Linked DNA regions of Oryzias latipes. Each later gene encodes a partner of the first gene's protein in a complex. Links are inferred from orthologs where the notes say so. Each region holds a gene or a part of one and is shown on either strand. Other genes may lie near its edges.

Region 1 (4,220 bases):
CTGCAGGTTTAAACTTAGACATGAGAGTTCAAGAAAGACAATAAAGATGGAAAAACATTTAATTGAATTGGAGTAAAATGACTTAGTTATATAAATATGATTTGTAAAAAAATATTTTGAGTTGGGTAGACGTAAGAAATTAGGTTGAATAAATTTAACTCAATTACTTGTTACCAATTGAAAGAATTAATTTAAGTTGGATAAGTTATATAAATGTTGCACCGAGTAAAAACTGATAACCGCTGTGAAGCAAGTCAGAGTTTTATTAACACAGGATCATTCTTTGCAGTACGATACCATACCGATGACACCATAGCAAACGTGCATAAAAGAAAATCACAATCGATGTAAAAAAAAAAAAAAAAACAATAATAAAAAAATTCAAACATGCCAGAACACTCTGATGCACAGCCCACTCGGTCAGATACGGCACTTATAAAACAATGTCCAGTATAAATGAGAGGAAGTGACTTTAACAAAGATATGACAACAAAATAAAAGAAGTAGTCCTCTCCTGCACTTCACTTGATTAGTCAATCATGCCGGGTGAGCTCCGTGAGGAGCGGATAAACAAAACACAAAACCAAAAAAAAAAAAAACTAAAACGGGACAGCAGGGCACAGTATTCCAAAACCTCACGCCCAGTCTGTAAACCCCCGAAAAAACACGATCTACCTCTGCCGTGATCCACACTCTCGGCTCGAGCCAACTAACGCTGCTCTCTGAGCTAACCGGCTTTCTCACAGGAAGCTAGTACCATGGCAACCACACATCAACTTCCTTTTATACCCTCTGTACAATGGCTATAGCGACACCCTCAGATGTGCGGCATAATGACAATAGAAATGAGAAACTGATGCGTTTACCTTGTCCGTTATTTAGCAGAAACTCGTTCTTTTGCTGATGCAGCCGTATTGATATTTTTATGGGCGTATAATCTTCATATGCCGTCATTAAAATCTCAGACTCCCTTTCTCTTTTTTTCTCCACGCGTTTCCATGGTGACTCCTGAATTCGGCGATCCATTGAGAATGTCTTTATGTACTCGCCGTGCATGCGCATTAACCCAGGGTTACCAAGTCGAGCGTAATTACGCCAATTCATATCCGGTCTTTTGGAACCGACATACCCAGAGTAAGCAAGTTCAGGCGGATTTCAGCCAGAGTTCAGGGATACAGCCAGGGTAGTTTAAACATGTTTCCTGGAATACCCCCATGAACTGATGAAAGGCCGCACTTCTCTCTGGAAGTAATTGAACACAGCATTAGTTTGAATCGGCAAGAGATCAGAGAAAACAACCCGCGAGGCGATGAGCTCGATGGGTTTGGTCTATCGCCTGTCAGTCAGCAGACCGGAAGTCCAACTGGAAACGATTTAACATTCATTTACACAAAAATAATAATAATAAAAAAAACTCACGTTGTTACGTCGGAGGAAAGCGTGGAGGTCGCCGGACCGTCTCGCAAACAGCGCCTTCCCAATTCTACCACTTTGGATTTTGTCCCAAGCCGGCCTCCATCATTTCATGTCACGTAGCCACGTGACCAAAACATAACTTTTCCCGCGAAAGCCACTGTTCAGCGCCGGTAAGGGCTCGGGTTCGTGTGTGGCGATTCGGTTTGATGATGTTCTGTGAGAAAGCCGTCGAATTGGTCCGGGAGCTGCAGCGGCTGAGCGATGGACAGCTGCCCGCCTTTAACGTGAGTGAGGCGGCTCGAGCCGCGGCGGGACTCTGTTGAAAGCTGGGCTCGTATCAGATCTAAGCCCTTGATACACACAACACACTTCCTGTAAACTAAACAAGCAAGCTACATACAAATGGCGTATTTTTCTAAATAGCGATTTTTATACCAAAACGTTTTATATTCATTAGTCCCACTGGCAGAGTACATCAGGAGCAAAGTGGAGTTTAGTGTCTTGTCCAAGCTTCGGACACCTGGGCCGGCAAAGTGGGAACCGAACCTGAGACTTTGCGGTCAGAGGACGCTCTGCCTCAGCACCACAACCACCCCATGAGGCTTTTTGCTCGAGTTTACTCTGAGGCTGTTTCTTCCAGTCAGACAGCTGCTTTACATTTCTGATTTGACTCTATTGATCACAAACTTCTTCACTTAATTTTTTTTTTCAAAAAAAGGAAAATGTATGTTTGGTAAATGATTTGTTTGTTTTATTAACTTGGAAATTCCCATTGAGATGAAAAACTCCTTATAAATGGAACTAGAGGCTGCATCAAATGCAAAATAATGTTTTTTATAAAGGTGTAAAAAATAAATATTTGGTCAAAACTATAATTGACGTCAAAACTTTGTAATGCAACCCGGTTGTCAATCACCGGCGTCAAAGGTTATCTGTAGATCTCTACCAGATTTGCACTGCGGCTGTTATTTGGGTCACTCCTCCATGTAGATCTTAGGATCTAGGATGAAGTCCCTCCACAGATTCTCTTTATTGAATTGAGGTCCAGAGACTGACTAAACCACTTCAGAACCTTGCTTTTTATGTAGCCACCCCTTCGTTGCCATGGGGATGTGTTTGGGATCAGTTTCCTGCTGGTAGATCCAGCCATCTTTCATCCCCAGTGCCCTCACTTTTGCCCCAAATCTTACCATTCAATGCCCCATTCATTCTTTCCTTGATACCTGTCAGTCATCCTGTCCTCTTTGCAGAAAAGCAGCCCTAAAGCATGATGCTTCCACCTCCATGCTTCACAGATATTTTTCGCAAGTGGCGTTTACACCAAAGAGTTTTAAAAACCTATATGCAGGAAGGGATGAAAAGTAGTGCAGCCTCATGTCATTGTTCTCAAAAACTGTCTTTAGGGTTCTATGTTGCAGAACTTTAAACTGTGGCTCCGTGTATTTTTTAGGAGGATGGACTCCGGCAGGTTCTACAGGAGATGGAGTCTCTGTATGACCAGAACCAGGCTGACGTGTGAGTCCCCACACACAAGGTTTTGATGGTTTTGTGTGCTTGTTCTCCGTTCTGATCCAGAAACAGAACAAACATTTTTTACTTACAAACTAAAGAAAAATCTAATTGCCTCAAATGTCAAAAGGAAGGCTTTAACATTGATGATCCAAATTCACTGACCTCTGATCTTTGGGTCTAAAACCAGTGGTAAGTGTGCAAACAGCAAAAACGTAATCTTAAGAAAGTAAAAATACCTTGTTTCATGAAAAAGCAAGACAAAAAAATTCTAATTTTAAGAATTTTTTACTTAGAGGGCTTGTTTTTGCAGTGTATGTCTGTGGAGGACAGAGCAAACAATATCCGTGTAATTATGTAATAATCAATGACACAATTATATTGGTCTGTGGATACATGAAAAATCAGACTAAAGCTGATCTGTCTAATCGGGTCAGAACCCAGAAACATCAATGGATTGTCTGTTTTCAGGAACGAGGCGAAGGCGGGGCGCTCCGATTTCATCCCCTCCATCAAGCTCCGACACAGCTGCCTGCTCCGAAACCAGCGCTGTGTCACCGCCTACCTGTAACCCCGCCCACAGTCAGAACAGGTTAGATCACATGACTGGTGTTGTTGATGTTTGTCTGTTGTCTAGTTATGACCGGCTGCTGAGGATCAGAGCACTCCGCTGGGAGTACGGCAGCGTGTTGCCGGCAAACGTCCGCTTTCACATGTGTGCAGAGGAGGTCAGTGTGACATCACTTCCTGCAGGTTTCACCTGTTGGCAGCTGTAACAGCTGTCTCCATGTGTGACAGGTGGAGTGGTTCAGTCAGTATAAGAAGTCTCTGGCCTCCTTCATGCGCTCCATCGGGGGAGGGGAGGGTCTCGACATAACACAGGACATGAAGCCCCCAAAGAGTCTGTATATTCAGGTGAGACCTCTAACCCAAAGCCCCGCCTCATAGTGTTGACATCATCCTGACACCTATACTTGCAGGTGAGGTGCATTAAGGACCATGGCGAGTTTGAAATTGATGACGGGACGATTATCCTGCTGAAGAAGAACAGCCAGGTGAGACAGGAAGAAGTCCCCCTGGATTTGAGTAAAATTAGAATCCCTTAAATGTTCTGACTTCGTGTTTCTCTACAGCACTTCCTGCCGCGCTGGAAATGTGAGCATCTGATTCGTCAGGGCGTCCTGGAGCATGTGCTGTCCTAAAGTGGGCGGGGCTTTGTAGACACCCCTTCAAAGAACCAACTGTCCTATGTTGTAATAAATCACTTTAATAAACCAATCTTGCGACTTATTTTT
Region 2 (4,000 bases), on another chromosome or scaffold:
ATCTACTACAACAATTGTTTTTACTTTAAAATGTAAATGTTTGCTATTTATATTATGTAAGCACGTCTATTTCCCATATAGCCCTAATTTAATTTTTTTTTTTTTTTTGTAAAAATAAATTGTTTACATGTTGTGATAAGATAAACTTTATTGGTCTAGACAGGAAAATGCACACAACTTCATGACATAATAAATAATGCAATTTCAATACTATGCAAGCTGTAAAACGGGCATTTTATAATCAGTCTACCATAGAGCATTTAATCCATTCAGACACATACCTTTACAATTAAAGCTACTTTATAGGAATGTTATTCTGATAATTTTAGAGTACAGAGTTTGTAAAAAAAAAACTAAAAAATAAAAAGAAATGAATATAAAATATAACAGCTCAAATATGTGTTTTCACACAGCAAAGCAACTACAAACAAACTCATTCTCTTTTATTTGCTTACTTACAGTCAATTTAAATGACAGAAGTTGGGCTTTAACATGATTTTGGTCTACCGATCTGCTGTCAACAATGCAGTCTGTTTGAGTGTCTTCCATCAGATACTTCTCGGAAATGTTTCCCATTTTTTCCTTTTAGGCAGTTTGCAGTACTTTTCCTCTGTGGAGGTCCACTTTCCTGTGAAAGACGCACCACCTAGTGGTTAGAATTAGCAACTGCAATAGATTTATGCAGTTTTACATAAAAAAATAAACATAGATTTTATCTTTTTTAGGGGGAAAATGTCTTAAATATGTAATTGTTATAATTACTAATTTTTGTGGGTATTCATTAACCGTTACTTTTTTTAAACAATAGTTTTCACTGCAACAATGGAAATATATAAAATAGAAACATCATATTTGAAACATTTTAATTCTTGTAAATCGATGTTTAATTATAAGGACTTTTTATTGATTTATTTTATTTATTTTTATTAAAAAATGTTTTTTTTTTTACTATTTTGTGGCTGAAACGGCAGCTTCCTGTGGGTTATAACCACATAAACGGAGGGAGAAAAGGCACAAAAAAGCTCAGTCGATTAGACAAAAATGTTTTTTACCTTTACAAATATTTAAAGAAAAAATGTTTTTAAATTATTATAGATGCCATTCTCCGTAATTTGAGGAACCTGTGTGCCTTTAAATAAATGAATGCGGATGAAGTTTTAACAAATCCCCCCCGTCAAAGTGGAGGGGCCTCCCGGAAGAAAGTTTGCGCTTCGTACTTTTCATTGGCCAAAAGTTACCCGCGAAATCGACGTCATCCGCAATTTCGCGCCAGATCTGCAGCTCTTGTCGTGCATTGAAGAAGAGGTAAGAAAGTCCTGCTTTTATCAACCCGGTTAATGTAAATCCTGCCGCTCTTTATGCATCTACGACAGAAGGAACTGATTGGGGTTTCCTTTAAACATCGATGACTGTTTTTATTGACATACTTTGGTGGTGAAGTTAGCAAAACACGATGTCGACTGAGCGCCGCCTTTGTTTGTCTGAATTATAGAGAGCCGCATGTCAAATGGTGGCTGAAATAATACTTCTCAAATCTGCGTGTTTGTACATTTAAAAAGACAGAAGATGCTCTAAACGTGACAAAATCCAACTGCTACGACGAGTGACGCTTAACCTGCATTTTCTGAATAAATACGTAAGAGTTTTGAGGTAAACGGGGCTGATGGACACTAAACGTTTTCAGAAACGAATTTTGCTCCTGAAAATCTACTGTACGTGTATGGAGAGGGATATAACCGCGAAAAAGACTAAAGTTGCTGCTTGCTTAATTTTTATTTGACCACCAAGAAAATGTTTTGCAGTAAACAGGATGCAAAAAAAATCACATACTCATTTTTTTTAAAGTGCACATACCTGTATATCTAAATATTTCCCGTGTTTTTACTCTCATATTTGTACAACTGAATCACCATTTATCACTTTCCTCTACAAACCATCTTAAGTCGGTTTTGACTTTTGTCAATCTGCAGATATTCCTGCAACGATGTCTTCGCCAGCATCAACCCCCGGAGGCCGTAAACGTGGAAGAAACGCCAACCCGCCCACACGTATGTCTGCTTCGCTCGGCTCTGATCGTCTCGGTCGCTCTGGTTCTTTTAAAAATACTTTTTTTTTTCCTCCACACCAGCGAATAGCGAGGATCCCACCTCTCCCCCCTCACAGAGGCGCCGGGGCCAGGACTCGTCTGCCGGGGATCTGATGCCGATGCCAACCTCCCCGGCGACAGACTTGCTCAGTCCGGCGGCACCTCAGGACACGTCTCTGTTCTCCAGCCCTCGACCTTCAGGTACTTGTTCTGGTTTTGTGTTACTTGATTTAAAAGAGGGCCTTGCCAGTCACAGTAGTGATGTTCATAGGGCCGAATGAAGTGGACATCAGCTCCCCTCTTGTGTACGGGACCCCCAGCTCCCGGGTGGAAGGCACTCCTCGCAGCGGAGTGCGTGGCACGCCAGCCAGGCAGCGCCCGGATCTGGGATCAGTCAGAAAGGCCCCCCAAGTGGATCTCCACTCTGACCAGGTCAGCGGACGAGCGCAGGCTCATCCAATGTCGGACTCAGTGGAAAAGAACAAAAGTTGACGTGGTTGTCGTCTTCTAGCCGAGCGCCGATAACGCAGTCGCCAGCGAGCCGAGTGCCGGGCAGAATCTGGTCATTTGGGGGACAGACGTCAATGTTGGGACGTGCAAAGAGAAGTTCCAGGTATGGACTGTGTCACCAGATGAGCTGTGTCCATCCTGCTTTCACTCCAGTCAAAGGTAACATTTCTGTGGTTTTTTTCAGAGGTTTCTGCAGAGGTTTATCGATCCGACTTCCACCGAGGACGAGAATGCCGGTCTGGACCTCAACGAGCCGCTGTACATGCAGAAGCTGGAAGAGGTGCAGCCGTCGCCGCCATTCGTTTCTGCTTTTAAGCCACAGTTTTTGCGACGCTTCACTCGTGTTTTATTCTTTTATTTGTGACCAGAGTTGTTGCCTTTTTCCCCCCCTCTCAGATCAGTGTGGTCGGGGATCCGGTCCTGAATGTGAACTGTCGCCACGTCCAGTCCTTCGATGCAGAACTGTACCGGCAGCTCATCTGTTACCCACAGGTAGAGTCTCAAACACAATTAAACACCATTTAAGCTTTGGCTGAATTCACTCATCACTGCGCATGGCAGGAATTTGCCCTTTTTCGGATGTCCACATCTACAGTTCCAATGTCCAGTGTCCTCAGAAGTCTCTGCAGAAAACTAGTACACATCGACGCTCACTAGATTAGTGACTAAATTTCACTCCTTCTCCTGTAGATCAGTGGTCTCCAACCTATTTCAGGCCACAGACCTCTTTAATGTCAGACAATTTTTTAACGGACTGGCCTGTACGAGGCCAAAGGGGCTTTTATTTTATTTATTTTTTTATAAATTACTTTAACTTTTGAGGGCAAAGTTTATCTTCACCCTCTGTAAAATAAGTGCAGCTGCTTTAGACTTTATTTAGATTTCAAGTAGGAAACATTAAAATGGGATCCAGATGATCCCATAACTGACAAAGTGGAAGCCAAAAAATCAGACGCCAACTTTAGCCTCATATTATTTAGGTGGAACTGATAAAACCAAATAAAAGGGTCACTAAAACTGATATTCTCTAAATATAATAATTCATGGGAATTTGTAGTTTAAACGACTTTATGAGCAGCTTCCTTGTAACATTAGAAAGCCAGTTGTTGAATATTCTGCATTATTAACTGTGGTCTGTGTGAACAACTGTCACAACAAATCCATATTTGGAGTAAAGACTCCTGGTAAATGAGACTTACTTTTATTTTGAAGGGGAAGGCTCTTTTCTGCCAAAACAAACTCTCCAAATATGTTTTGGCGGTCGGCGCAGCAGCTTTAAGAAAGTAGCGGATGGGTTTTCAACACGTGACCGAAAGGCTTGATACGTGTGTGACTAAAGAGTCGGATGCGGTGGAGAGAATCCCGCTGTTTTTCAAAATAAAACTTCCTTCAGAATCAGATTTG

Evidence for each region. The genes of interacting proteins can lie anywhere in the genome.
Region 2: gins1 (region 1) and mcm4 share a complex: the UniProt entries of both Homo sapiens proteins name them as parts of the CMG helicase complex. The link is inferred for Oryzias latipes from reciprocal best matches to the Homo sapiens genes GINS1 and MCM4.

What each region holds. Positions count from the first base shown.
Region 1 is NC_019873.2:12,527,796-12,532,015, reverse strand, and holds gins1 (DNA replication complex GINS protein PSF1), read left to right. Parts: upstream 1-1,420; 5' UTR 1,421-1,622; coding exon 1,623-1,700; intron 1,701-2,866; coding exon 2,867-2,931; intron 2,932-3,396; coding exon 3,397-3,492; intron 3,493-3,562; coding exon 3,563-3,653; intron 3,654-3,723; coding exon 3,724-3,840; intron 3,841-3,905; coding exon 3,906-3,980; intron 3,981-4,058; coding exon 4,059-4,127; 3' UTR 4,128-4,203; downstream 4,204-4,220. UniProt on the Homo sapiens protein: Required for correct functioning of the GINS complex, a complex that plays an essential role in the initiation of DNA replication, and progression of DNA replication forks.
Region 2 is NC_019875.2:27,222,251-27,226,250, forward strand, and holds the start of mcm4 (DNA replication licensing factor MCM4), read left to right. Parts: upstream 1-1,200; 5' UTR 1,201-1,305; intron 1,306-1,361; exon of another isoform or gene 1,362-1,650; intron 1,651-1,970; 5' UTR 1,971-1,984; coding exon 1,985-2,048; intron 2,049-2,128; coding exon 2,129-2,287; intron 2,288-2,357; coding exon 2,358-2,518; intron 2,519-2,597; coding exon 2,598-2,699; intron 2,700-2,780; coding exon 2,781-2,876; intron 2,877-2,992; coding exon 2,993-3,088; intron 3,089-4,000. UniProt on the Homo sapiens protein: Acts as a component of the MCM2-7 complex (MCM complex) which is the replicative helicase essential for 'once per cell cycle' DNA replication initiation and elongation in eukaryotic cells.